2 linked regions of the Tamandua tetradactyla genome follow. Each later gene encodes a partner of the first gene's protein in a complex. Links are inferred from orthologs where the notes say so. Each region holds a gene or a part of one and is shown on either strand. Other genes may lie near its edges. The genes, in order: ABCC9 and KCNJ8.

The links.
Region 2: the proteins of ABCC9 (region 1) and KCNJ8 are in contact, whole or in part, in a cryo-EM structure (PDB 7MIT), measured with the Rattus norvegicus proteins. The link is inferred for Tamandua tetradactyla from reciprocal best matches to the Homo sapiens genes ABCC9 and KCNJ8. Residues at the interface, in XP_038963045.1 of Rattus norvegicus: Phe5, Ile10, Tyr13, Asn14, Ile15, Val19, Asn22, Cys24, Phe25, Ala28, Leu29, Val32, Val35, Phe36, Phe39, Phe42, Pro43, Ile44, Phe46, Ile47, Gly48, Trp49, Gly50, Ser51, Lys55, Gln57, Ile58, Asn129, Phe130, Lys132; in NP_058795.3 of Rattus norvegicus: Met1, Leu2, Lys5, Ile7, Ile8, Pro9, Glu11, Tyr12, Val13, Leu14, Ala15, Arg16, Ile17, Ala19, Glu20, Asn21, Leu22, Leu45, Ala46, His47, Lys48, Asn49, Gly54, Arg55, Phe56, Leu57, Asp59, Ile60, Thr62, Thr63.

What each region holds. Positions count from the first base shown.
Region 1 is NC_135333.1:84,560,709-84,575,909, forward strand, and holds the start of ABCC9 (ATP-binding cassette sub-family C member 9), read right to left. Parts: upstream 6,947-15,201; 5' UTR 6,247-6,946; intron 6,168-6,246; exon of another isoform or gene 6,002-6,167; intron 5,904-6,001; 5' UTR 5,789-5,903; intron 5,256-5,788; exon of another isoform or gene 4,905-5,255; intron 3,229-4,904; 5' UTR 3,104-3,228; intron 2,310-3,103; 5' UTR 2,290-2,309; coding exon 2,148-2,289; intron 1-2,147. UniProt on the Homo sapiens protein: Subunit of ATP-sensitive potassium channels (KATP). Can form cardiac and smooth muscle-type KATP channels with KCNJ11. KCNJ11 forms the channel pore while ABCC9 is required for activation and regulation.
Region 2 is NC_135333.1:84,375,242-84,390,385, reverse strand, and holds the start of KCNJ8 (ATP-sensitive inward rectifier potassium channel 8), read left to right. Parts: upstream 1-8,651; 5' UTR 8,652-8,727; intron 8,728-9,049; 5' UTR 9,050-9,205; intron 9,206-9,303; exon of another isoform or gene 9,304-9,350; intron 9,351-10,020; 5' UTR 10,021-10,090; coding exon 10,091-10,464; intron 10,465-14,465; coding exon 14,466-15,144. UniProt on the Homo sapiens protein: Inward rectifier potassium channels are characterized by a greater tendency to allow potassium to flow into the cell rather than out of it.

The sequences.
Region 1 (15,201 bases):
GATGAAATATGGGATTCATTATTGAGCGAACTCTTAATCACATGCATATTATATGAGTAAAATGATTACCTATGACTCAGCCTGCATTATTCAACAAGCAAAAGTTAAAAGTTTTTCACACTAAAGAGCTTAAAAACAAGCTCAAGAACATTATAGCTTCACATTTGGCTCATCACTGAAGAAAATATTCAAGATTATATTTAGTAAAATTGTGATGTTTCCTCTCAAAATTACAGCATAATACCAATTCATATGTAGCATGTCAGGAACAAACGACTTTTGTCTCCTTTCATCGCCCTTTTTTCCCTCATTTTCATCAGTAGAGAAGCCTGACACACTTCAGGAATGAATGAGGGTTTGTTCTTGAAATATTGCAGGAAGGATTTTTTGTATGTATAAAAGGGACCTCTCAAGCATTCTTTGAAAAAAAAATTGATTCGCGTCTTAGTTGTTGCCAAACGTATTTCATTATTGGCAGGTTAGTTAAATTTAACATATTCTACCACAGTTTACATTGTAAACTCTTGCAGGCAAGTTCTGTGTCTTTTATGCAGCATTATAATTTTCCTTGTACCCGATACTTCTTTGAGATTTTAAGTATTGATGGCCCCTCACTGACTCAAGAATGCAATATTATAAATAAGCAGAACGCACTTTTCCCCATAATTTCTTTTGACACTATCCATTTCAATGCGACTCTATACAAATACCATTGTTGCAAATCACTGTGCTGGGTATTAGGGATACAAAAATGAATGTCACAGTCTTTCCTTTTAAGTTAACTGGACAACAAAAAGAGGAATTATCAACTGTAATAACTGCAATAAAAATGCAGGTTCTACTTTTGGCCAAAGAGCGTTTGTAATGTCCTACAAATAATGCTACATATAGCACTAGTACTTCTACGTATGGCTACTGTGGTACCAATATATTTAGATTTGTTTATATATTTGTTTAACCTGAATAACTTTGCACGAAAAGTTATGGTGGGCTCTATTATGACATCACACACCATAGGACAAATTCTTTGATCACTGTAAGAAATAATAACAGGAATGGAGCTGGCTCTCAGTGAATTTATTTAAGGAATAAATAAAAGTATTCACATCATTTTTAAATCTTTCTTTAAAGCATATTCTTTGATTATGCTATTTTTCTTAAGAAAGTAAGTCTGATGACTTTTTATTATTTCATATATTTTTGTGGGCAACAAAATCATGGATGGGAATATTAATCATCAAATTATAAATAGTAGTTACTACTTATGAAAGGATGGGAAGAAAGGATGTGGGAATAACAACAGAATCAGGAAGTGATATGCAAAAAGATACACATGTTCTTACAGCTACATTCCAAAGGATGAGTGGTGGTAGGTTCAAAGAATGTTTATTATATTAATCGTGGTCATTTTTTACATACTGAAAATATTTTATAACTTTTTAAAAAGTTAAATGGTCTATTTTGGTAATTCAGGGGGTAGGACCACACAAATTGTACATAACTGCTCTGAATAACTGGATTCTGTACATGCATAAACTGTAAAAGCATAGAGAAAATGGTTCCCATTTCTTTGCAAATGTATTCTCTTCAAAACATACCCACGTCATTCCTACTTTAACTTGCACACGTTGTAACCTTCAAGTTCTGGAACGTGTCACTCTCTGGGCAATCTCCTCCCACCAACACCAGGAAGAATTAGTTGTTCTAGCAGGTTAATGCCTAGTATAATTTGTTCCCATTTTTGAATGTGGGCTTAAAATGTGATACAGTTAAGTTCTCCTGACTTTAATGCATCTGTTTGTCTGGACTACTCCCAGAAGGCAAAGCACACACTATGTCACCCATTTGCCATTGCCTTCACCTAGGACAAAGCAAGTACTCAATCAATGCTTTAGATCCATCTCATATATTATCTCTATCTTTTTCAAAAACCAGCTGCTGCTATCTGGAAGCATCCTTTAGAGGACCATGCCCACTATTTTACCTACCGAGTATCATATGCTAAAAATAGAAGTAATAAGAAAACACAAAATATAAGTTTCTTCTTTTCTCATAGACTCTCATATCAGCTTTCATGATGGAGAAATTAAGTCAACATTATACCAAATCTCACTACTAATGTGACATAGCAACATTACATTACTTACCAATAAACAATATTGGAAAAGTGATAAACAGCAGGAAAACATGAGGGACCAGATTGAGGGCATTCACAAAGCAAGGGTTTTCTAATACACCTTTACAGATATTATATGAAGAAATGTTGTTACCACAAAATGAAAGGCTCATTTCTTCTCATATGGTTTACTCTAAAAGTGAAAGAAAAGAGAAAGAAAAAAGTCTCTTGTAATTAAACTCTCTTTCATAGGATTATGGCCTTATAGAGAGGGTTATATCATTTATCCACCTTATTTTTACAGTTGAAGAACTAGATAAATGCATGACAAAGTCCTCTTTTCTATAGTTGTTTTTTTTTTAAAGAGAAATATACTCTAATTTTAAAATATTTTCTTTTGATTTGTAAAATGTAAAATAGTGAATATCTTCTATAGTTGTACCTCAAAGGAGTATTTGATTAAAATGATTTCAAAGAACAAAATAGGTGATTTGTTAAGAAAAATGGGAGAAAAGTGAAGCTAATGATTGAAAAGTCAAAATGTTATGTCAAATCCTTTTCCAGGTCTATTCATTGAAAATGCATTAACAAATAACTTTGGCTGGACACAATTTCCTGAAAATTTCCTTAATTGCAGAAAATAGTAATACACAGAGACCAATGTGTCTGCAAACAACCTTTCTCTGAAGAATATTAAAACTAAGTAATCTGGACAAATTAAATAGAACTGTATTTAACTGACCAGTTAAATGAAAGTATTCAGGTCCCATTCTTACATAAAATGCATGCTGTAAAAATTTTGAAAGGAAGGATGTCTGATCATTGGAAATCGGCATTCATTTTCCAATTAAGTAGATGATTTAGAGTTAAGAGAGGACAAAATCTTGCAGAGCTCTGTAGACCAGGGCTGGGATTCTGGCTTTTATACTGGGTGAATTGGAAAGGCACTGAGGATGTAGGGCAGAAGAATGGCATGCTCTGACTTACATTTCAAATGGATCCCTCTCATGGATGTGCTGAAACAGATGATAGAGGAGCAAGTATCTGCTCCATCAAAATACTACCGTGAAATTTCAGTTAGAGTTTAGCAATAGCCACGAACAATATTTGTCCTAGGGAAAAAAACAAAAAGTATTACAGAGAAAAGATTAGCAATAGTAGGCAAACTATTGGAGAAGTTAAATTTCAAGAGAAGGTTTTATAAAGCATTTTATGAAGAGAAATAGTTCACAAGCCTCAATATTTACAGTCCATAAATGTTTAAACTGAATCCCTTTCACACATTATTTCAATAAATCCTTTTATTGATAAATCAATTATATGCTTTCCAGTTGAGGCCATTTCTAATTTTTTAAAACAATTACATTTTTTTAAAACTCAGGATAAAGTTTACGTTTGGTAAATCCTTATGAATTATTAAAGAGTATAAACTGGATAAAAGCATTAGAATGGACTTGAGGTTTTTAAAATAATAAAATGGAAGTTATAGTTCCAAGCTCATATGATTTGCATGTTAGATGTATTTCTGGTAAAGATGGAAAATTGAAAGCAAAAATAATTACTAATGAAAAATTTTACTGTTTCCTTTATTTAGTAAAAACAAAGGAAAATTTAAGCCCATTCTTAAATTCAGACAGGTGCAAACTGAAAATAAAAAATGAAAAATAAAATGAAAATGAAAAAAATTACTAGTAAAAGTTTTTAGACTATTTCCTTTATTTAGTAGTAACACAAAAGAAAACATAAGCCCACTCTTATATTTAGACACAAGTATAAAGTGCTTCCTAGCATGAACCAGAAAATAATTTTTACTTTACCAATTTTTATAATTGTACCCAAAATTATAATATTCCAGTTGGCCACATTTGTAAACCTTGATATGTAATACTTATCCAACCGGATGTCAATGATTAACCTAAATTTGATCCTCTGTTAGCTAATATTGCCTGCCTATTAATTTTTTTTTCTTTTGTGGGCGTATGGTCAGGGAATTGAACCCAGGTCTCACTGCAAGGAAGGTGACCATTCTACCACTGAACCACCTGTGCAGCCACCTGCCTAATACTTAAATCAATCCTAAAACCTATCAATTAAGTAACCCTTTGGATAAGTGTCCTGTAGCTGTGGAGAGAAAGCGTCAGAAAAGTACAACCACCTGAAAACGTTTAAGACTATTTTCACCCCCGTACCAGCTGTCAGGGATTCTAGGCCATTTAATTAATTAACATTAAAACACTTATTGGATGCGGACCATGTGCTAGGCACTGGGAATCCGAAAGTGCACAAGACAGTAAGTTCCTGTGCTCTTAGACTGTATAAATAAGAACATACCATTTACAAGTAGTTCTTGGGATCATATAAAGTTACATGATCCAAAAGATGGAGAAATATGCAATGATGTAATAACACTACAGTATTTGCTGCAAATTCATGACATAAGTCTTAGAATGACATCTTCCTTCTCAACATCTGTAGCCTCACACTTCCTTCTAGCTCCAAACTCACCCACCACCTCTCACCACATTTTTCCTTCTGTTTTCTCTTCCTACACCCTCTTCTCCCCGACCCTCCCTTCTGCAGCATTCAGTATGTATGTGGAACATCTTACCAGCCAGCCCACATACGTTCCAATATAGACCAAATAAATAAATAAATAAATAAAGAGGAGTAAGCAATACAGACATGTTGATAATTATTAGTGTTTACCAAAGGCATTTTATTCAACCTGAGTTTCTAACTAATTCCTAGATTTCCAAAGGTCAGCCAGTGTTTCCTTTCCAAAACACACCATCAAGTCAGGAAGGCTTCCGGAAGGGAATAAAGCGCTGTTCCTGTTGGCTAAGCTCAGTCACCTGACATCCTTCAGACACGCCCCTTCTGGATCTGTCCGGTTCAGCCGAGCACAGACAGAGGCCTAAATAGAGAATTGTAAAAATTTGGCAAAAGTGTCAATGTATATCAGGTACCGGCCTCTCCTTCAGCAATTTTTGCCAGTCCTCTCTTTTGGAAGTAGACTATAAGTAAAATAAGTGAAAACTAGCACTGTTTTCTGTTCGTCCAACAGAAACTGTCAATTTAATGGAAGAGAAACAGCAGAAAACTTAAAATGCTTGGAAACACCTGAAAAACATGTCAAAAGCAACAGAAAAGATTTCATTCTAACGTGAAACAATTCATTATTTATTTATTCAGTGACTAAACAAATGTATGTTATGAGAGAGAACCCAGGGCATTTCAAGGAATTTCCTTAAGAGCTTTATCGTTATCTAGGACATTTTCAGGATGGAGATCACTTGCAAAAAAAAATAAAAAAACAATTAAAAAAAGTTTATGCTTTAAAATCTTCTTTGGAAAAAAATCAGTTGGCGGTTCATAAAACATAAACTAGAAGATTTGTCTACTTTTCATCTATCTCTATATCTGTCCCTATCTAGCTATCTAATCACCCTCCATCGCTATGTCAGATCCAAGTTAGAAAATACTTAGCAAAATGACCACTGACTTCTGATTCAGTGCCTGATCTGAATTCACACATTTATTCTTCAGTGGATGTGAAGTTCCTTCGCTCACCAAAGAAAATGGAACTACTCAGCAATCAGGACTCCTAGGACAGTCATTTCAATGGGATTTTTTTAAGTCCCAAACTGAGCAAATAAAGCAAAAAATAAATACCTTGGGCAATCGCTTGATGCTGCTTCAACCCCCTACGCGTGCACTTGCGCTACTTTCAAAAGACCGGCTTCCTACACTGTCTTAAGACGTAAATTTCCAACCCGGGCGCAGGACTCTTAAAAAAGCAAAGCGTAACCAAAAATTAAGCAGATAGAAAGCTATTTCATGAGCAGTTCAAGAAATACCCGAGAGAAAAAAATTTAGTAGTAACACCTTGCATTGTTTCCAGTTGGTCTACCTAGGTACCGGCACAGTTTTGTAAATAGAGCTGGAAACCCGATCCCCACCCCCTCTCTTCTCCGGACGGTTCCCTTCGTCCTAGAAATAGCGATCGCTTAAGGCAAAGCGCACACAGTGCGCGTGCGTCTTTTGGTTACCGAAATGTTAAATAAAAATCTACCGTTTACAGTTAGTCTTAAATTTTTTTAATGATATTTATGCAAAAGACATGGACTCACTTACTCCGACGGCAAAGTTTTCCTTCCCTAGCCGTAACACGCAGTGCGCCGGGTTGGATTATTTTTAGGGTGGTGGGAGATCAGCTGCTGCCTCCTATCGAGTTTCTAAATTGCATAAACTGCTCTCGGGCCGGGGCGGACACTGCGACTCCGAAGCAGGAAACTGGGCAGAAGCCCCGTGCGCAACGCCTTGGACTGAAGACCCTCCCCACCCCACTCGGTCCAGCTACAGCCGCAAACCCAAATAATAGGCATCCCCCAAACTTCATCAGAAGTTTTAATCTTGCAATATATAACTAAGTGAGTCTACGAAGAGGGGTTTTCAACGTCAAAACACGCAAGGTACTCATTCGTATTTTTCCCCCCTGCTCTACGTGCATCCTTTTATTAGCCACATAATGAAGTGGATGGGGGGCGGAGGGGGCCGGTCACTATGTTTTTGCCCTGACCGGACCGGGGAAATGAAGGACTCACTGTTAAGCAGAGAAACTCGTTGCAAGGGTTTCTCTGTTTGTTTCACATGATCAACACAGCCTGAATCCTAAGCTTGCCCCTGCCAGCGACCCGGAAAACTTGGCTACTCCTGCGCACTAGTCGCCGCGCTACTGAAGGGCGACACTTACCCAAACTTTGGTGGTTTCCAAGAGCAGCATAAATAGTAACCCACCCCCACCCCCTTACTCCGCTCCAGGCCAAAGAGATAGTTAACTCTCCAGGAGATAACGTATTTAAAATCCACTTAACCTACCCTAAGTCCCCTCCCCACTCCCAGTTCTCAAACCCTAATTTTGGGCCTCGCCAGCCTTATTTAATTTACACTCAAAATTCTCAGTGGCCAGTTCTGAGTCAGCTTGAAATCATTACTGCTTTCAGCAATCGTCCTAAACTAAGAAAGGATGGTCAGTCAGGCGGACTGGTGCAGCCGGGCTCCGAGTGTGACCTCCAGGCAGCACCGCTCCAGGACGGTGAGCAGCCAATGCTGGTCCCGCGCCCTGAAACCTAAACGTTGGTGGATCGCGGGGTCTGCTACTGGAGGGGCGAAACGGGCATCTCGGCCTCGCGGTCCTTGTGAACAGCGGGCAGGCTCCGGTCCTGCAGTCCCTGAGGGGATTTCCCCGCGGGCGCGCCCCACTCTCGGGAAGGTTACTAAGTTCCCGGGAGAGTATCGGGCAGCGGCTGAGGACTGGGACGCGAGCCCGCGGCCACAAGAGGTCTCCAGGATCGGCCACGTGGGTCGGCTCCCGAGAAGGTCCAGAAAGCTCAGGTTTTTGAGCGCTAGGCTATTGCAATCTGCAGCTGTTAGCCCGACGCAGGAGCTCCGCGGGGACCCTAAAACTTGATGGAGAAGTATCAGAGGCTCTGCAAGGGCCCCGGGGCGGGACAACGGGGTGGTGCAAAGAATCATTACATAGAAATGTGACTACACAAAAGAAGTTGACTTGGAGATTTGTTTTTTTTTAATATTACTCTTAGTAAGGTCGTTTGTAAGGATAAAAAGTTACATTTAATGTAGAAGCTTTGTAAAAAAAATGGAAAAGCATAACTACTGTTGGAGATTGAATCAAGTCTCCCACAAGAGACTTGTTTAGGTCCCAACCCCTGGTCCTGACGTGTGAATCTATCGGTAAAAAAGATACCCACCTGGGGAGGAGGCAAGCCTTCTAACCTCTGAAGCAGAGAGCCAATAAAAAACCACCCACTGTATGGCAATTGTTTTAGAAGCCAGCAAACTAATACAACTACTGGAAATATTTGGTTATATTTTAACAAATTTAGGTGCTATATACTGCAGTGATTAGGCACATGAACCGAGCTAGCATGCATACTATTACATTCTGCTACTCCACTCAATCTTTGGACTGTCAGTTTCCTCATGTGTCCAGTGCAATAAAATGACAAATAAAGGTGTTTCTTAGGGTTGGTGAGAGGACAAATGAGGTAATATCTGTAAAGTACTGAGAGAGTGTGTGCTCCTCGAGTAATGGCTGAGTATTAATTATTGATATTCTGTTTTGATATGCATATTTTATATTGGCAATTACAGCATAAGTGTCTCCTCACAACATCATTTAAAACACTTATTTTCCAATGGCATTTTTAAATCCTCACAGAAATAATTTAAGTGTCTGCATAATATCATTTTGTGTAGATATTCCGTAATTTTAAACCAATTTCCTTTTTGTTGGACATGGAGTTGCCCTGTGTTCACTATCAGATGAAATCCTGTGATGGTTTTGTTTGTTTTTTTTCAGTGTGGTAGATTTTTTCTTTAAGGTACATCCTCTAAAAAGTAATTACAGGGACAAAAGGGGTAAATATTTTTTAAGGTTACCAATACAGAATGCAAAATTACTTCTCTAGAAAGTTTATATTCACTCCCCTGAACAGTATGAGATGACCTATTACTACATTTACACCCAAATCAATTGTAGATATTATTTTAAAAGCAAACAAAATTCTTAATTTGACAAATAACATGCATTTCTTTGTTTTTGACACTGTGTTTTTTCAAACGTTTATTAGTCTTTGTATTTCTTCCATAGTCAATGGCTTTTTCACAGACTTGTCCATCTAATGGATCTTAATGAAGTTTCTTATCATTTGTGTGAACTTTTAATAAGAGAAGCATATTAAACCTGTATCATATATTTGACAAATATTTTCCCAACTTGCAATTTAAAAATGAGAGTGATGCTGCCCTTCTTAAAATAACAACTGTTTTCATAATTCTGTCAACATTTATTAGAGCATGTATCATGTGCTAGGTCTCATACCAGACACAGAAATCAGTGATGAAATCAGCTCTCCCAGTGTCTCTGCCCTTGGGGCACTTGTCTTCTAAGGGAAGGTTTATGCAAGCAGCGATGTTGCTTTTTACCTTCACAATGTATCCCAAAGCTTTCATTTCATAAATGTTAACATTCATTTTTATTTGTTTAAGGGTGTTTTAAAATTTTGATTCAGGAACATATTGTGGCATATGCCATGAAATGAGAATATATAGTTATCCATTCATTACATCAACACCACTGAATGAGTAATCATTTTTTGCTTTGATGTGTAACACCAACTTTATCATATGCACTTAATTATTTTATAGTAAAATTTGTTTCTGGAATGTCTCTTCTATTCAATTGATCTGTTTTTCCATTTTTTTCTATTCTATTGCTTTGATCAGTCCAATTTGATTATTGTAGCTTTAAAGTACATTTTAATCCTGGGAGTGATAGTCTCTTTACTCTTTTTAAATTTTTCTTAGCTTTTATTCTTTGGGGGGATTTTATTGGCTTTTCATTAAATCTAGGAAATAATTTATGAAGCCATGTCACATTTAGTGTTTCCTCTCTTTCCATCCAGAAACACGGCTTCACATTTATTCAAGTCTTTTTTTTAATCCGTTATTAAATTCATAAGAGTCTCTATAATTCTCTACAATTTCTTGTGAATTTTGTAGTTTCTTTTCATATATTGGCCTGCTAAGAATGTAGTATCTGTTCATACTATATTTTCTAACAGATTATATATTTATCTTATATCTAGCCTCTTTACAATTTTCTCAATAATTGCAATATTGTTTCACCTATGTTAGCTTGACTTTCTAGAAAATATGATTTTATCTGCAAATCGTGGTACATTTGCCTACTTTCAAATACTTAACATCTTATTTATATTTTATTATTATTATTTTATTAATTAAAGAAAAAAGAAATTAACACAACATTTAGAAATCATTCCATTCTACATATGCAATCAGTAATTCTTAACATCATCACATAGATGCATGATCATCATTTCTTAGTACATTTGCATCGATTTAGGAAAAGAACTAGCAAAACAACAGAAAAAGATATAGAAAGTTAATATAGAGAAAAAAATAAAAATAATAATAGTAAAAAAAGGAAAAAGAAAAAACAAACAAACAAACAGACAAAAACAAAACCTATAGCTCAGATGCAGCTTCATTCAGTGTTTTAACATGATTACTTTACAATTAGGTATTATTGTGCTGTCCATTTTTGAGTTTTTGTATCTAGTCCTGTTGCACAGTCTGTATCCCTTCAGCTCCAATTACCCATTATCTTACCCTGTTTCTAACTCCTGCTGGACTCTGTTACCAATGACATATTCCAAGTTTATTCTCGAATGTCGGTTCACAAAAGTGGGACCATACAGTATTTGTCCTTTAGTTTTTGGCTAGACTCACTCAGCATAATGTTCTCTAGGTCCATCCATGTTATTACATGCTTCATAAGTTTATTCTGTCTTAAAGCTGCATAATATTCCATCGTATGTATATACCACAGTTTGTTTAGCCACTCGTCTGTTGATGGACATTTTGGCTGTTTCCATCTCTTTGCAATTGTAAATAACGCTGCTATAAACATTGGTGTGCAAATGCCCGTTTGTGTCTTTGCCCTTAAGTCCTTTGAGTAGATACCTAGCAATGGTATTGCTGGGTCGTATGGCAATTCTATATTCAGCTTTTTGAGGAACCGCCAAACTGCCTTCCACAGTGGTTGCACCCTTTGACATTCCCACCAACAGTGGATAAGTGTGCCTCTTTCTCCGCATCCTCTCCAGCACTTGTCATTTTCTGTTTTGTTGATAATGGCCATTCTGGTGGGTGTGAGAAGATATCTCATTGTGGTTTTTTTTTTTTTTTTTTTTTTTTTTTTTTTTAAAGGAAAGACAGAGAGAAGGAAGGAAGGATAGAAGGAAGAAAGGGAAACATCTTTAAACATTTTCTTGTTTTTATTGTATTCTGTTTCTCCGTATTTGTTACATGGGCTGGGGCCGGGAATCGAACCGAGGTCCTCCGGCATAGCAGGCAAGCACTTTGCCCACTGAGCCACCGCGGCCCGCCCTCATTGTGGTTTTGATTTGCATTTCTCTAATGGCCAGGGACATTGAGCATCTCTTCATGTGCCTTTTGGCCATTTGTATTTCCTCCTCTGAGAGGTGTCTATTCAAGTCTTTTTCCCATTTTGTAATCGGGTTGGCTGTCTTTTTGTTGTTGAGTTGAACAATCTCATTATAAATTCTGGATACTAGACCTTTATCTGATATGTCGTTTCCAAATATTGATTCCCATTGTGTAGGCTGTCTTTCTACTTTCTTGATGAAGTTCTTTGATGCACAAAAGTGTTTAATTTTGAGGAGTTCCCATTTATTTATTTCCTTCTTCAGTGCTCTTGCTTTAGGTTTAAGGTCCATAAAACCGCCTCCAATTGTAAGTTTCATAAGATATCTCCCTACATTTTCCTCTAGCTGTTTTATGGTCTTAGACCTAATGTTTAGATCTTTGATCCATTTTGAGTTAACTTTTGTATAGGGTGTGAGAGATGGGTCTTCTTTCATTTTTTGCATATGGATATCCAGTTCTCTAGGCACCATTTATTGAAGAGACTGTTCTGTCCCAGGTGAATTGGTTTGGCTGCCTTATCAAAGATCAAATGTCCATAGATGAGAGGGTCTATATCTGAGCACTCTATTCGATTCCATTGGTTGATATAGCTATCTTTATGCCAATACCATGCTGTTTTGACCACTGTGGCTTCATAATATGCTTTAAAGCCTGGCAGCGCGAGACCTCCAGCTTCATTTTTTCCCCTCAAGATGTTTTTAGCAATTCGGGGCACCCTGCCCTTCCAGATAAATTTGCTTATTGGTTTTTCTATTTCTGAAAAATAAGTTGTTGGGATTTTGATTGGTATTGCATTGAATCTGTAAATCAATTTAGGTAGGATTGACATCTTAACTATATTTAGTCTTCCAATCCATGAACACAGTATGCCCTTCCATCTATTTAGGTCTTTTGTGATTTCTTTTAATAGTTTTTTGTAGTTTTCTTTATATAGGTTTTTTGTCTCTTTAGTTAAATTTATTCCTAGGTATTTTATTCTTTTAGTTGCAATTGTAAATGGGATTCGTTTCTTGATTTCCCCCTCAGCTTGTTCATTACTAGTGTATAGAAATGCTACAGATTTTTGAATGTTTATCTTGTAACCTGCTACTTTGCTGTACTCATTTATTAGCTTTAGTAGTTTTGTTGTGGATTTTTCCGGGTTTTCGATGTATAGTATCAAATTGTGTGCAAACAGTGATAGTTTTACTTCTTCCTTTCCAATTCTGATGCCTTGTATTTCTTTTTCTTGTCTAATTGTTCTGGCTAGAACCTCCAACACAATGTTGAATAATAGTGGTGATAATGGACATCCTTGTCTTGTTCCTGATCTTAGGGGGAAAGTTTTCAATTTTTCCCCATTGAGGATGATATTAGCTGTGGGTTTTTCATATATTCCCTCTATCATTTTAAGGAAGTTCCCTTGTATTCCTATCTTTTGAAGTGTTTTCAACAGGAAAGGATGTTGAATCTTGTCAAATGCCTTCTCTGCATTAATTGAGATGATCATGTGATTTTTCTGCTTTGATGTGTTGATATGGTGTATTACATTAATTGATTTTCTTATGTTGAACCATCCTTGCATACCTGGGATGAATCCTACTTGGTCATGATGTATAATTCTTTTAATGTGTTGTTGGATATGATTTGCTAGAATTTTATTGAGGATTTTTGCATCTATATTCATTAGAGAGATTGGTCTGTAGTTTTCTTTTTTTGTAATATCTTTGCCTGGTTTTGGTATGAGGGTGGTGTTGGCTTCATGGAATGAATTAGGTAGTTTTCCCTCCGCTTCGATTTTTTTGAAGAGTTTGAGGAGAGTTGGTACTAATTCTTTCTGGAATGTTTGATAGAATTCACATGTGAAGCCGTCTGGTCCTGGACTTTTCTTTTTAGGAAGCTTTTGAATGACTAATTCAATTTCTTTACTTGTGATTGGTTTGTTGAGGTCATCTATTTCTTCTTGGGTCAAAGTTGGTTGTTCTTTATTTCCAGGAACCCGTCCATTTCATCTAAATTGTTGTATTTATTAGCGTAAAGTTGTTCATAGTATCCTGTTATTACCTCCTTTATTTCTGTGAGGTCAGTAGTTATGTCTCCTCTTCCATTTCTGATCTTATTTATTTACATCCTCTCTCTTCTTCTTTTTGTCAATCTTGATAAGGGCCCATCAATCTTATTGATTTTCTCATAGAACTAACTTCTGGTCTTATTGATTTTCTCTATTGTTTTCAATTTCATTTATTTCTGCTCTAATCTTTGTTATTTCTTTCCTTTTGCTTGCTTTGGGATTAGTTTACAGTTCTTTCTCCAGTTCTTCCAAGTGGACAGTTAATTCCTGAATTTTTGCCTTTTCTTCTTTTCTGATATAGGCATTTAGGGCAATAAATTTCCCTCTTAGCACTGCCTTTGCTGCGTCCCATAAGTTTTGATATGTTGTGTTTTCATTTTCATTCACCTCGAGGTATTTACTAATTTCTCTTGCAATTTCTTCTTTGACCCACTCGTTGTTTAAGAGTGTGTTGTTGAGCCTCCATGTATTTGTGAATTTTCTGGCACTCTGCCTATTATTGATTTCCAACTTCATTCCTTTATGATCCGAGAAAGTGTTGTGTATGATTTCAATCTTTTTAAATTTGTTAAGACTTGCTTTGTGACCCAGCATATGGTCTATCTTTGAGAATGATCCATGAGCACTTGAGAAAAAGGTGTATCCTGCTGTTGTGGGATGTAATGTCCTATAAATGTCTGTTAAGTCTAGCTCATTTATAGTAATATTCAGATTCTCTATTTCTTTATTGATCCTCTGTCTCGATGTTTTGTCCATTGATGAGAGTGGTGAATTGAAGTCTCCAACTATTATGGTATATGTGTCTATTTCCCTTTTCAGTGTTTGCAGTGTATTCCTCACGTATTTTGGGGCATTCCGGTTCGGTGCATAAATATTTATGATTGTTATGTCTTCTTGTTTAATTGTTCCTTTTATTAGTAGATAGTGTTCTTCTTTGTCTCTTTTGACTGTTTTACATTTGAAGTCTAATTTGTTGGATATTAGTATAGCTACTCCTGCTCTTTTCTGGTTGTTATTTGCATGAAATATCTTCTCCCAACCTTTCACTTTCAAACTATGTTTCTCTTTGGGTCTAAGGTGTGTTTCCTGTCGACAGCATATAGAAGGATCCTGTTTTTTAATCCATTCTGCCAGTCTATGTCTTTTGATTGGGGAATTCAGTCCATTAACATTTAGTGTTATTACTGTTTGGATAATATTTTCCTCTACCATTTTGCCTTTTGTATTATGTACATCATTTCTGATTTTCCTTCTTTCTACACTCTTCTCCATACCTCTCTCTTCTGTCTTTTCATATCTGACTCTAGTGCTCCCTTTAGTATTTTTTGCAGAGCTGGTCTCTTGGTCACAAATTCTCTCAGTGACTTTTTGTCTGAGAATGTTTTAATTTCTCCCTCATTTTTGAAGGACAATTTTGCTGGATATAGGAGTCTTGGTTGGCAGTTTTTCTCTTTTAGTAATTTAGATATGGCATCCCACTGTCTTCTAGCTTCCATGGTTTCTGCTGAGAAATCTACACATAGTCTTATTGGGTTTCCCTTGTATGTGATGGATTGTTTTTCTCTTGCTGCTTTCAAGATCCTCTCTTTCTCTTTGACCTCTGACATTCTAACTAGTAAGTGTCTTGGAGGACGCCTATTTAGGTCTAATCTCTTTGGGGTGCGCTGCACTTCTTGGATCTGTAATTTTAGGTCTTTCATAAGAGTTGGGAAATTTTCAGTGATAATTTCTTCCATTAGTTTTTCTCCTCCTTTTCCCTTCTCTTCTCCTTCTGGGACACCCACAACACATATATTTGTGCGCTTCATATTGTCCTTGAGTTCCCTGATACCCTGTTCAAATTTTTCCATTCTTTTCCCTATAGTTTCTGCTTCTTTTTGGAATTCAGATGTTCCATCCTCCAAATCACTAATTGTAGCTTCTGTCTCTTTAAATCTATCATTGTAGGTATCCATTGTTTTTTCCATCTTTTCTACTTTGT
Region 2 (15,144 bases), about 190 kb from region 1:
TGATCAAGTAGAATTTATTCCAGGTATGCAAGGACAGTTCACCATAAAGAAATCAATGTAATATGTCAGATTAGTAAAACAAAGGGAAAAAAAACACGTGATCATCTCAATTAATGCATAAAAGGCATGTGACAAAATCCATGAAAAACATTTTAGAAAACCAGGGATAGCAGGAAACTTCCTCAATATGATAAAGGTCATATATGTAAAGCCCATTACTAACATCATGCTCAGCATGGAAAGAGTAAAAGTTTTCCCTGTGAAAGATGCATACTGTCACCACTGTTACTCAACATTGTACTACAAATTCTATCCAGAGCAAGTAGTCAAGAAAAAGAAATAAAAGGTATCCAAACTAGAAAGAAAGAAGCAAAATTTTCTCTTTTCCAGGTGACGTGATTCTATATACAGAATATCCACAACAAAACTACTAGAACTAATGAGCGATTTCAGCAAAGTGGTGAGGTATGAAATCAACTTTTAAAAGTCAGTAGGGTTTCAATCTGTTCTATGTCTACTTACTGAAGTGTACCTTGAAAATCACTGCTTTTTCTTTCTTTTATTTGTATATATTATATATAACAATAAAAACATTTTAAATCAGTAGAGTTTCAATCTACTAGTAATGAACAATTTGAAGAAGAAATCAAGAAAAAATCCTATATACAATCACAACTAAAAGAATGCAATATCAACAAGCCAATGATGTAAAGGTCTTGTACAAAGGAAACTACAAAACACTGCTAAAAGAAATTGAAGAAGACCTAAATAAATGGAAGGACACTCCATGTTACAGGTTGGGAGGCTAAATATCTTTAATGTCAATTCCATCCAAAACAATGTACAGATTCAACACAATCCCAACAAAATTCCAATAGCCTCCTTTGCAGAAATAGAAAAGCTAATCATCAAATTTATATGGAAGGGTAAGGTACCTCAAATAGTCAAAACAATCTTAAAAAGAAGAACAAAGTTGGAGGACTCTTACTTCCCAATTTTAAATCTTATTACATATTACAGTAATCAAAACAGCATGGTAGTGACAGAAGGACAGGCATAGAGATCAATAGAGTCAAACCAAGTTCAGAAATAAACCCTCCTATTTATGGCCAATTGATTTTTGACAAGGGTGCTAAGTTCACTCAATGGGGAAAGAATAAACTCTTCAATAACTGGTGCTGGGAAAACTGGCTATTCTTATGTGAAAGAATGAATGTAGAAACCTACCTCATACCATATTCAAAAATTAACTCAATATGTATCAAGGGTCCATGGAAAAGCTAGAGAAAGGATAGGAGGGTGACTAGGGGGGTGATTTGGGAGTGTAGCTGACCTGGGAGAGCCTTCTGCATCACACAAGGCAGCCCTAGTTGCAGATGCCGAGGAACTGAGAGGCAGAAAGCTGGAGCCTGGCATGGAGGTGCAGAGGTGCAGAGCCTGCGGAAGTGCACAGACAGGAGTCTGGGACTAGAAAGTAAGCCAGGCTGCATTCCTTGGGCGTGCTAACCTCACCAGTGCAGCCGCGTGACCAGTGGCTCACCGTATACCCCACATGCTTAAATCCCGTCACCCACTCCTATTTCCTGCACTCCAGGCACCCCCACCCCACCAGCCCCTAGTGCACATACCTGCCCCACACCCCCATCCCAAGTGAACCCAACCCATCTCTCTTGCACCCCTTCAAGCACTACCTACCCTTCCCTGCTCCCTGCAGGCTGTTGCCAGCACATAAAGGCTGCAGGCACTAACCCAGGCTACCCTTGTCCCCTGCCCATAGTGTGGCACAGCCTCACCCTACCCTCCATGAGCTCTGTGCTTAGCTTAAGGCACTCCTAGACCCACACATGCTCACGGGCCCCCAGTCATGTCATTCAGCTCCAGCAACCTCAATTTTCAGCAGTCCTAGAACTGCGCAAACACACAGCCCTCAGCCATGCTTCCCAGCTCTGAGAAAGTGTGACCTGCATAACCAAGTCACATCTGCCCCCAATCCACAAAGATATAAGACGGACCTGCTCCCACAGCTCAATGCATGTGCACAAAGAGCCCTATGCTTTAGACCAGCGCACACCAGGTTTACATCCCCAACTGGTGCACCCACACAGCTACATCCTCCCTGGCTGCTGGGCACCCACATTCACAAGCATCAGTGTAACATCCCCAACCTGCACCTATACCTGCCCTGAAACAAATCACAGCACTGAGTGCCCCACCCCATACCCTGCTCCCTGCAGTACATCCATTCTGCAAACACAAGGCCTTAGACAACTGAAAGAAATCAACTCCCAAAGTAAATCTATCAAGATATTTACATGCCACAAAGACAGCAGAAGATCACCAAGCATATCACAACACAGACAGATACAGGCCTGCCTAATGACCATATTGAACTACCAGAGGAGACACAGACATTGGAACAACTAATCAAAGATGTTCATACAACTCTACTTAATAAAATAAGTGGGATAGCAAATGACAGAAAGGAGATCAAGAAGACAGCAGAAGAGCATAAATAGGAATTTGAAAGAATAAACAGAAAAATGGCAGATATCACAGAGATTAAAGACTCTGTTGACCGAATAAAAAACATGCTAGAGGTACACAACACCAGATTTGAAGGGACAAAAGAAAAAATAAGTGATACAGAGGACAGGATAACTGACTTTGAAGACTCAAAACAGCAAATGGCAAAAAACGATAGAAAAAATTGAATCAGATCTTAAGAAAATGATAGACAAAACAAAGCATACAAATATAAGAATCATTGCTGTCCCAGAAGGAGAAGAGAGGAATAAAGGGCTAGGAAGAGTAGCTGAGGGTATAATGGGGGAAAACTTCCCAAACCTCATAAAGGACATAAATATACTAGTCAAAGAAGCCCAACAAACTCCATACAGAATAAATCCAAATAGGCATTCCCCAAGACACATACTAATCAGTCTGTCAAATGTTGAAGAGAAGCAGAAAATTCTGAAAGTGTCAAGAGAAAAACAACCTACTACATACAAGGAAAACCAAATAAGACTGAGTTCAGACTACTCAGCTAGCTCCCTGCAGGCAAGAAGGCAGTGGTATGATATATTCAAGGTCTTGAAAGAGAAAGACTTCCAGCCAAGAATTCTGCACCCAGCCAAACTGTCCTTCAAAACTGAGGGAGAGATTAAAGTTTTCACAGACAAAGTCCTGAAGGAATTTGTCAACAAGAGATGGGCCCTACAAGAAATACTAAAAGGAGTTCTACCAGCTGAAAAAAAGAGACAGGAGAGGGAGGTCTGGAGGAGGACACAGAATTGAAGAGTATCATTAAGGGTAATTTAAAGAATACAAAGAGAAAGAGGGAAAAGAATATACAGATCTGACAAATAAAATAAAAAAGATAAGGTGATAGATTCAAGAAACACCTTTTCAGTAATAACTTTGAATGTTAATGGACTAAATTTACCAATTAAAAGATACAGATTGGCAGAATGGATTAAGAAACATAATCCAACTATATGCTGCTTAAAAGATATTCATCTTAGATACAAGGATACAAATAGATTGAAAGTGAAAGGATGGAAAAAGATTTTCCATGCAAGTTGTAACCAAAAGAAAGTAGAAGTGGCTATACTAATTATCAGACAAGATAGACTTTAAATGTAAAAACATCATAAAAGACAAAGAAGGACACTATACTCTAATTAAAGGGTCAATTCACAAAGAAGATATAATAATCATAAATGTCTATGCTCCCAATCAAGGAGCTCCAAAGTACATGGGACAGTCATTGATAAAACTGAAGGGAACGATAAATGTTTCAACAATAATAGTAGGAGACATCAATACACCACTCTCCTCTATAGACAGAACAACCAGACAGAAGATCAACAAGGAAATAGAGAAGTTTAATAACTTGATAAATGAATTAGACCTAACAGACATATATAGGTCATTGCACCCCAAAGCACAAGGATATACATTCTTCTCTAACACTCATGGAACATTCTCCAGGATAGATCATATGCTGGGGCACAAAAAAGATCTTTATAAATTTAAGAACATTGAAATTACTCAAAGCACTTTCTCTGATCACAATGGGATGAAGCTGGATCTCAATAACCACCAAAGAACAAGAACATTCACAAATACATGGAAATGAAATAACACACTATTAAACAAGCAGTGGGTCAAAGAAGAAATTGCTAGAGAAATCAGTAGCTATCTGGAGATGAATGAAAATGAGAATACAACTTATCAGAACCAATGGGATGTGGCAAAAGCTGTGCTAAGAGGGAAATTTATTGCCCTAAATGCCTATCTTAAAAAACAAGAAAGAGCAAAAGTCGAGGACTTAACAACACACCTAGAGGAACTCGAGAAAGAACAGCAAATGAACTCAAAAGTATATAGAAGAAGAGAAAAAACAAAGATTAAAGCAGAGATAAATGAATGGGAGAACAAAAGAATAATAGAAAGAATCAATAAAACAAAAAATTGGTTCTTTGAGAAAGTCAATAAAATTGATGGTCCACTAGCAAAACTGAGAAAAAAAAAAGAGAGAGAGGATGCAAACAAAATCAGAAATGAGAAGGGGTGTGTCACCACAGAACCTGAAGAAATAAAAGAAATCATAAGAAGATACTATGAAGAACTATATACCAACAAACTAGACAACTTAGATGAAATGGACAAATCCCCGCAGACACACACACAAGCTGCACTGACTCAGGAAGAAATATAAGATTTCAACAAACCAATCACAAGTAAAGAGATTCCATCAGTCCTCAAAAATCTTCCTACAAAGAAAAGCCCAGGGCCAGGTAGCATCATATGGGAATTTTAAAGAGGAGGAGTATAACAGAGAAGACAGGGTTTAGCAAATGAATATGACTGCTGATATTATATAGATATTTCTGTTGGTCTCCAGTGTCTTGGTACAGCTGAATAAAAAATTAAAAGTCATGAAAATATAACCCATACCAAATTTTAAAATCTGTTCCATAACTACTTGCTGAAATGTACTTGGAAATGTATTTATCTTTCTGTATACATGTTATATTTCACAATAAAAAAATATTGTAAAAAGTCAAGGACCAAAATACAAAAATCAGGACTATGATACTCCTAGGAAAAAAACAGAGAAGCATTTTCAGGATCTTCTGTTTAGCAATGGTTGCTCAGACTTTACACCAAAAAGCATAAGCTACAACAACAAAAAGATAAATGAATTGTACATCACCATCAAAAATTAAAACCTTTTTGCATCAAAGGACTTCATCATCAAAGTGAAAAGACTACCTACAGAACAAGAGAAAAGACTTGGAAACTGCGTATCTGATAGGTGTTTAATATCCACAATATATAAAGAAATTCTACAACTCAACAACAATGAAAAACAAACTACCCAACTAAATAAATGGGCAAAAGACTTGAATAAACATTTTCCCAAAGAAGATATACAAATTGCCAGTAAAGACATAAAAAAGATGTTTAACATCATCAGCTATTAGAGAAATGCAAATCAAAACTATAATACCATTTTGCACACAGTGGAATGACAAATATTGAAAAACAAAAAAAAAATTATAAATGTTGGACGAGTTGTAAAAAAAATAGGGACACTCATTCACTGTGGGTGGGAATGTAAAGTGGTGCAGCCACTGTGGAAAACAGTTTGATGGGTTCCCAGATAGTACAGAATTACTTTATAACCCAGAAATTCCATTTTTAGGTATATACCCAATAGAATTGAAAGTAGGGACTTGAACACATACTTGTACGCTGTTCTTCATAGGGGGGATATGCATAATTGCCAAAAGATGGAAGCAACCCAAATTCCCATCAACAAATGAATAGATAGACAAATGTGGTGTTTATATACGATGGTATATTATTCAGTCGTAAAAAGGAATGAAGTTCTGAGACTGTAGCAACACTGATGGACCTCAAAGAAATCATGCTGTGTGAAATATTTTATGATCTCACTCCCCATGGGGAGCTAATGCCTAATTGGCATAGAATTTCATTTGGGGTAATGGAAGAGTTTTGGTAATGGATAGTGGTGATAGTAGCACAACAGTTGGAATGTAATTTACACCATTGAATTATAATTTTGAATGTGGTTAAGAGGGAAATTTTAGGTTGCATATTATGTTAAAATAAAAATTTAAAAACAACAAACTATAGGACTCTATAACACAGCATTCCCTAATGTAAACCATAGTTAATAGTATAATTATAGTAATATTGTTTTATCAATTGTAAGAAAGAAGGTACCTGGATAGTTTAGTGGTTAGAATGCCTGACTTCCGCGCGGAAGACCTGGGATCAATTCCCAGACCGTGCACCGCCCCCCGCCCCCAAAAAAGAAAAAGCAAAAAAATAATTGTAAGAAAGGTACCACACTAATGCAGTTTTAATAATAGGGAAAACTGTGTTAGTGGGGAGGGGCCCATATATAGAAAGTATAATTTATGTATGACTCTTCTGTAAACTTAAAACTTCTCTAATAATTTTTTTAATATGTCATAGCTTGTCATTTGAAAACAAGACAAAATTCGACTTAACACTGCATGTTTGGAAGAACATATCTCTTTAGAAAAAGAGTAATTTTTGTAGTATAGCAAAAGAACAAAATTTTCATGTGAAATCTCTCATAATTTCTTCTCAGCAGTTCACCCTCCTTGGTCTGATTTTCCTATTTTTTCTGTCAGCACCATAAATATCTTAGTCACCTCTGACTTATCCCTCTTCCAATGTAGACTCTGAACATTCCTTTTGTATATATTTATATATTGCCCACTGTCATTATCAGCCCTGAACCTCATTCCCTCTCTAACTAATATAATAGTTTCCAGTGTCCCCTCCTGCAATCACAGAAATTCAAAACCCAAAGAGACTCCAGGAAGAAATTCAACCCATAAACCCATTCTACTTTTTGCTTCCTGATCATTCTTCCTAAAACAGTCTCTTATTGTATTGTTATCTGATCAAAATCTTTCCATGGCTTACCACACCTACAGAAGACAGTCCAGGCTCCTTTGTTGAGCATTTAAGGCTGTCTGTGCATTTTTTTAAGATACCAACATACTATTTCAACCTTATCTTTTCCATTCATTGATTCAAAAAAATTTTAAGCACATCTGTAATCTGAAATGTGCTAAAAATTTAGTTTGCAAAGATGAACAAGTCACTATCCTGCCCTCCAGCAGCCTTCAATTGTGTGGAGAAAAGAGTCAAGTACATGAACAATCCATTAGGTGTTGAAAGGTCTGACAGAGGCCTTGGAATCAGGGCAGATCCCGTTATCTCACTGACTCTGCTTCATCACTGCCGAATGAATTACTTTCTATTAATAAAACACAGCCTGTTCTTGTCAGCACTCCATGACTTTGTCCATGCTTCGCCTTCTCTGTGGAATGTCTTCTCTCTGCATTTCAGTATGCCCCAAATACATCCTGTCTTTCAAAAACTAGACCAGATACCAAACAATCCATGAAGCTTTCCTAAGTCTCCTAATATGCTCATTCAAATTCCCACAGCACTTTAGTTGTATCTCCTTTCTCATTTTTATCACTCACTTACTTGTATTAGAATTTATTACATCTTAGCTGTTTTCCTATACCTGTCTGTCTCTTACGGGTAGCATCTATAATTTAAGTACTAATAAATCTCTAGATATAAACCTTAAAAAAAAACTTTCCCTAACAGGCATCCAACGAATGCTGTCTGAGCTAAAATAATAGATAATAAATAGCATACCAAATACAATTGCAAAAAAGTACTAGGGGAATGATGATACAAATTGATCCTCTCATATTTATGGCCAAACTACTACATAAATTACTGCACAAGTTAAGAACAGCAGAGAAGAGAGCTGTCACTGACAGACTAGGACCCCCAGACTTCAAGGGACAAAGCATTTCTATCCACAAGAGAGGAAAAAAAAGTGTCTGTTTTCCTTCACGGCTAATACTAGGTCTTTCGTTAATTAAATGAACACATTGTTTATTCTCCATACACTTTCAGTCCCGAGTCTTGGAAAATACATGAAATTTCCAAGAATTAAAGTTTCCATTAACTCAAGTGCCAAAATCACAAGGCTTGATCTGAGGGAGAAAGCACATTTGTCTTTGCTGGCTCCTTTTCAAAAAGCTATAGAAAGATATTTACTGTATAACCTTCCTTGTGCATTAACTGCTCTGCTTATCATTCAGACTATCTAAACAAGACAGAGAAGCTGCAACATTTCAGAAAGCAATCGATTGCAGAGGAGCGGCCGTTTGAGGGCTGAAGTGTTGACAGTGTCCCTGTTTGGAGTACACTTTCTTCACGGGAAAAGACTACAGGATTTTGTACCGTTGTTGTTGTGTGTTTAATGCACGACAACTAGCTTTGAGTGGTGAAGAAATAGCATACTCTCGTGGGTTGCAGAACATTATCCACCTGTGTTATCACCAATAGACGAAAATGTAATATAAATAAATGTGTGTGAATGAATACAGCTTGCACGCCTGGGAAGAAAATCTTACGGTATCTGGTTTTATTCCATCTGAAAAAAAAAAAATTCTGAAACCCAGTTATCTATTCGGGTTACTAAAAAAAATAATAATAATGAAATAAATTTTCTTTACGTCAGTGAACTTGGACTCAGAGGGTTCTCTCCCTGAGCAGCGAGCCTTTTAAAGACGTTTGTGTCACTCTGGCAGCAGGGGGTCGCCGCTACTGGGAAAAGAGCTGGCTCTACAGGTCCCGCCCCCCCCCCGGGGGTCTCCCCTCCCTCCGGCCGCCTCCCTAGCTCCTTAGAACGCGACTTCGCGCCCCCATCCTCCCCCACCACCCGGCTCCAACCTCCGCCGCGGCGCGCAGAGGTCTGGCGCGCGTCAAAACCTAACAGGGAGGTTGATTTGTGGAGCAGCATCCCCAAACTCCCCTCCCCCCAGCCCCTCCTCCGCCCGCGGCATCTGCCTAGGGAGTTGGGTTGAGCAGGGGGAGGGGGAAGAGCAACACCGTCCCCCTTCCCCCAGCCGTCCCCGCGTTTAGATTCAATTGTACCTTTTCTTATTTTAAGTCTTCTGTTTAGGCCACTCGGCCCCTGGATCAGTCCCTCCAGCGTTCGGCATCCGCGGCCCCAGCTCCGCACGCGGAATGGGAGAGCGAGGGACCCACCCGCGGTCCGCCGGCGTGTGCGGGAAGGTCCAGCCGAGGCGCCCGCTGCCCGGAGCCTGTAAGTTTCAACGCAACACCCGGAGAGGGGAGGGCGAGCTGTCCACGTCCCAGCAAATGACTTAAATTGCAAAACACAGCAAAGATCTGCAGGGTCCCGTGGACTCTTCGGGACACTCTCCTTTGACTCTATTTGGTGCCCACAGGTTACTGCTCAGGATTTCCTTCAGTTTGTGTCTGAGCCCTTCATTATAAAATTTTCCACTTACAGTATTATGAGTTCCATGAGGAACTCTTTCGCTTTTTTCTTAAAAATGCAACTCATACTTCCTTCAAATTTAAAATAATTCTTCAAATTAGATAGAGTGCTTATTTTTATCAGATTACACGAAACAGCTCAAGAGAGCAAGGCCTTTTCTTTGCCTACTTCTAAAAATAAGAGGAAGAAATTTCCCTCTTTATTTTTACTATTGCTGTATCATCTAAATAGCTTAATAGATCGTGATACTCAGCTGGCCTTAATTTCCCTCATTGACGCTGCGTGTTTGTAGCCTCACACTGATCTACAGCCGCAGTTGATCTTAGAGAACTATTTTTGAACTTGCTGTTTACGTGAAGGCTCCTGCTGGTGTTTCACTAAGGCTATGTCCATATATGTGTTCAGAATAAGAAAAATGGAAACAATTCTCCTGATTCGGACCAAATAATTTCTCTGGGATCCCAGAACTTAAGCAAAAGCTGGATTCGTGTTGAGCTGAATAAAAATCATGCTTGCCACTTTGCATGCCTACATGCCCCTTAAATCAAGGACTGGAGAGGTGAGGAAATGTTTTTTGTTTTTTATATATATTTTTAATGATCGTTTACTTCGTGCAGGAGGACGGGTCTCGGAGGAAGGAGAGGCAGGTCAGAGGTCGGTGGGTAAGCTGGCTATGGTGACAGGACGATGTTGGCCAGAAAAAGCATCATCCCGGAGGAGTATGTGCTGGCGCGCATCGCCGCGGAGAACCTGCGCAAGCCTCGCATCCGAGACCGACTCCCTAAAGCCCGCTTCATCGCCAAGAGTGGGGCCTGCAACCTGGCGCACAAGAACATCCGCGAGCAAGGACGCTTCCTCCAGGACATCTTCACCACGTTGGTGGACCTGAAATGGCGCCACACGCTGGTCATCTTTACCATGTCCTTCCTCTGCAGCTGGCTGCTCTTCGCCATCATGTGGTGGCTGGTAGCCTTTGCCCATGGGGACATCTATGCTTACATGGAGAAAAGTGGAATGGAGAAAAGTGGTTTGGAGTCTACCGTGTGTGTGACTAATGTCAGGTAAGGATGCAGTGGGATGAGGCGAAGATTGAAAGGAGTATGGGAAAAAAAATATTAACCTGCCCTTTTTCCCATCACTCCAGTTTGCGAACGCTTTGCTTTGAACCTTCAAAGACAAAAACAAGCATGCAAACCACAAAAAAACCCCACTAAGTTTAGATATTAAAAATCTTTGTAAATGCAGCTTTATGGATGATGAGTCTCTGAAAATGTGGAGCTTCAATCCCTTGGACTAGACTTTAAAATATCATAGCAGTTATTAAAATTGTGGTTGGAGAGGATTCCACAGAATGTCTTCCTCAAAAAAAAAAAAAAAAAACACGCATTTAAGTTTTCAGTAAGAACAGCTGCTGTCCATAGTTCCAGTGTCCACAAATAAATATCTCTGATCATTAAAAAATATTACACAAATGCTGCTAATATTTTCCCATGACCTATCTTACCCTTAATATTTTCAGAAATAATGAAAAAATGTAGAGGCACTGTTCAGGAGGGGTCAATTAAAAATCCATTAAATATTCAATAACTGAAGTAAATATAAACCTTCCTTTATTAAGACTGTCTGAACATAGCTCATTGCCTGCACTGAATTAAAAGTTGCGCTCAGATTCAGAGCTGTAAAACAGTTCATTTTTAATGGAAATTTTCATAGGAGAGATTATATAGAAGAGACTTAATGCTGCAGTCTTCTTTCAGTCTTGATTGAACAAGAACAAGACAGTTGCAGATTGCCTAACTTTTGTTTCTTTTTATTCATAAGTATTTCTAAGACCAGTAAAGTGAATATTTTCAGTGATTCTCTTTTCATATTTTTGGAGGGCAGAAAAATATTTAGTTGGGGTGACTTGTATTTATTTTGTGGGAAGATAGAAAGAGATAACATAACATTCAGAGAAACATTTACTCTGAAGCAAAACAATGCAATAATAATGGAAATTTTTCCAGAACATTTTCTGAATAGCATTCCAAATTCACATAGTGCACAAAGCTAAGAAACTTAAGCCCCATACTACTAGGTAACTGTAAAGAATGAGACCTTTCTTGACCCTGGAATCTTGTGAAATTAGCATGCCACTGCAAAAAGCAGAAAGCCATGCTGTGAACTTGTCCATCCTTCTAGTTCCTAAGTAACTGTAATACAAGCATATCAGGAATGTAGCATTTGTATGCAGAGACAGCACACCACATTTATCAGTTCAAATTTTGAGGAAAGTAAACTGTATCGAATTGATCCATTGCCTTTGCCACTGAGTAGATACTCTTATTTTTAACATAATCTTTTCTCAAAGAACAATGTGGCTGACAAATGTGAGTGATCATCAAAGCACTCGATATAAAGGAAAAGAAACACTGTGTGTAGCAGTTATTTCAAGGTCAAAGCTACTTTTAATAATATTTCTCTTTAAGAAATTTATTGGCCCTGATATTAAAGTCACATTCATATTAAGAGAAGTTCTCAATAAATATGCAGTAGGTACTCATAAAGAAATTAAAAGAACTAAAATGATAGTCCTTGAAAACAAATGACAGATTTTATGCAGAAGACAAATATATTGCCTTTTTCTATGAAAATGAAGTCATTAAGCAATGTATTAAAAATACATCATAAAAAGTGATATCCTTTCACTGATTTTTCAAAAAGAAATTTAGATGTTCCATTATCTATTAAAAGCCATTTTACTGCTAGCGCTTGTTTTTCATGTAAGGTATTGTCCGAAGCATGTTCATTCCCTTGATGTGTCCCTGCTAGTGTGGATATAATATCAACTGAGAAATGGTCCCCAAAATATGAAGCTGATCTTATCAGTATAACAATTTTAGTGTTTCAAACTGCACTTCCTAAGAAAACTTATTTGACATCTTTAAAGGTTGTTCTAGTCCCAGTGATTTTATTTTCATGCTATGGTATCATTTATACTTTAATTTCAATATAGAGTTTAATCATAACAAGCCTCACATAATAAAAAAAATTCTACCATAAATATAGAAATAAAAAAATCACTATCCTCTTCCAAAGGGAATTTAAAATATGACTAATAATGATTCTAATTATTAGCATTCCCTTTCCTTTCTTAAGTTCAGTGTCCTGTTGCATTGTCAGAATCAGAAACAGTTTTTTCAGTGGTTATTCACCAGTGTTTCTAAATAATGTTTTACCATTCTCATTTTAGGGTGGCTTACTTTCCCTTTCATGTAGATTACTTTCTAATATGCATCTGAAAAGAAACCAGCATATTTCCCCTTTCTCCTTATGATTCTTTAACAAACAAAAAAACAACCAAACATTTTTATCAGTTGTGGTAGTTTAGTCTGACAGGTGTTCATAAAAGACTGGTCTTGAACCATATAATGGTTAGAATTGAATTCTTTTATACAATAAAAATGTTTGAAATATGGCACATGAATGTTCTCAAGCCATTAAAGCAAAACATTTGGGTATATTCATCATTATGCTGTTCCCTGAAGTATGGATTTATTATTAGACATCAGTGTTGTGTCCATGACCCTCCTTTGGGATCCATTCCTATTCTTTGCCAAGATTCAGGGTCATATGAGATATCTTGTTTTGTGTAGCTAGTGTAAGAATAGTTAATGTGGTTTTCCATGAATCCTTGTAGCCACAAAAGAGGAAAAGGGCAATTTTCAGGCTCTGTTTAGAAGGTTATCAGAAGCGTCACCTGTTCATGCTTGCTTACCCCCTCATCATGTCCCAGCAAAAGTGCCTGGCATATATTAAGAACTCAGATTTTTAAAATTTGCTCACTCATTGTATGTGGCATGAAAATATATATATATTTTTTATATATATACTTATATATATATATAATATATATATATATTTATATATATACACACACGCACTCTCTTTTGATGACATTTTTGGCAGATGAGCTATGCCTGGCTTTTCTTTGGTAAAATTAGAGAAGTTTGAAATTAGGGGTGTGGGGAGGAAGACAGGGCTAATAGTATTTCTGTTAAGACACTGCAGCAGTATCAGGGATGTAGTAAGTGAATGAATGAATGATAATAATAACCAAATGCGCTACTTCTCAACCAGAAAGTGAATTACAGAATTACAGAATTCTGATTCCCTTTCTCACCCCGAGCCCACCAAATCATTGTCAATCCTTGGAGCTTCCCTAGAAAACCTGACAACTTTTGGCCCCTTCCCTTTGCCTCTTTCAGAGTACTAGGCTAGAATTTGGAGGATTTGTGTTCTTATTAATTATATGATTTTGTCATATAATTGTCATTGTTGTTTACTAATCTCTGTCTGAAATTCTTCCTTTATCAGCTTCCGTATTATCTAGATCACTTAGGACAAAATGAGACAATCTACAAGAAAACACTTTTTTTCAGATGCAAAATTTTATTATTAAAAATACTAGTATTTTTGAACGATGTGTGTTGTACCACTTTATACTGCAGTGCATTGACTATATAAGCTACACAATAAGGTTTAGCTAATGAACATGATTTGAACAGCTATAACAGTGAAAAGTTCACTCATTACTCAGTGCCTTCAATAGGACTCAAGTCACTTAAACATAAATATACAAGAGTAAGTGCTCTTTGGAAAAGTCTCTGTGTTATGGATTTTTATTTAGATTAAAAATAATTTTTCAAGCTTATGCTGCAAATGTCATTAGGTTTCTATTCTTCAAAAAACAGACAGGATTTACTTTCACTTTGTGAAATTTTCTACCAGGAAGATGTATATTAGTTTATTGTATTAGTACTTTCATATGAGTAGACCCATCATTTACTGACCTAGAAAACACTAACAGAATTAAACCCTTGTAGTCTAGAGATAGTGCACATACAGGGAGAATGAAAGTGCTTGTGCTTAGAATTTGACATTTGGCAGGTTAGGTTGGCTTGTATTTCTAAAAGCATTGGATAGCCTTGAAGGGAAGAAAATGAAGCATTCATCTAGGCATGCTATTTTGGTATTCAAAATCTGATCTGATGGCATTGTTTTCTAATATCATTCCTTACAGGTCTTTCACCTCTGCTTTTCTCTTCTCCATTGAGGTTCAAGTGACCATTGGATTTGGAGGGAGGATGATGACAGAGGAATGCCCTCTGGCCATCACAGTTCTGATTCTCCAGAACATTGTGGGCTTAATCATCAATGCAGTCATGTTGGGCTGCATTTTCATGAAAACAGCCCAGGCTCACAGAAGGGCAGAGACTTTGATTTTCAGTCGCCATGCTGTGATAGCTGTCCGAAATGGCAAGCTGTGCTTCATGTTCCGAGTAGGTGACCTGAGGAAAAGCATGATCATCAGCGCCTCGGTACGTATCCAGGTTGTCAAGAAAACAACGACCCCAGAAGGAGAGGTGGTGCCTATTCACCAGCTGGACATTCCTGTTGATAACCCAATCGAGAGCAATAACATTTTCCTGGTGGCCCCTTTGATCATCTGCCATGTGATTGACAAGCGCAGCCCCCTGTATGATATCTCAGCAACTGACATTGTCAACCAAGACCTGGAGGTCATAGTTATTCTGGAAGGCGTGGTTGAAACTACTGGCATTACCACACAAGCAAGAACATCCTATATTGCCGAAGAGATCCAGTGGGGCCACCGATTTGTGTCTATTGTGACCGAGGAGGAAGGAGTATATTCTGTGGATTACTCCAAATTTGGCAACACTGTCAAAGTAGCTGCTCCA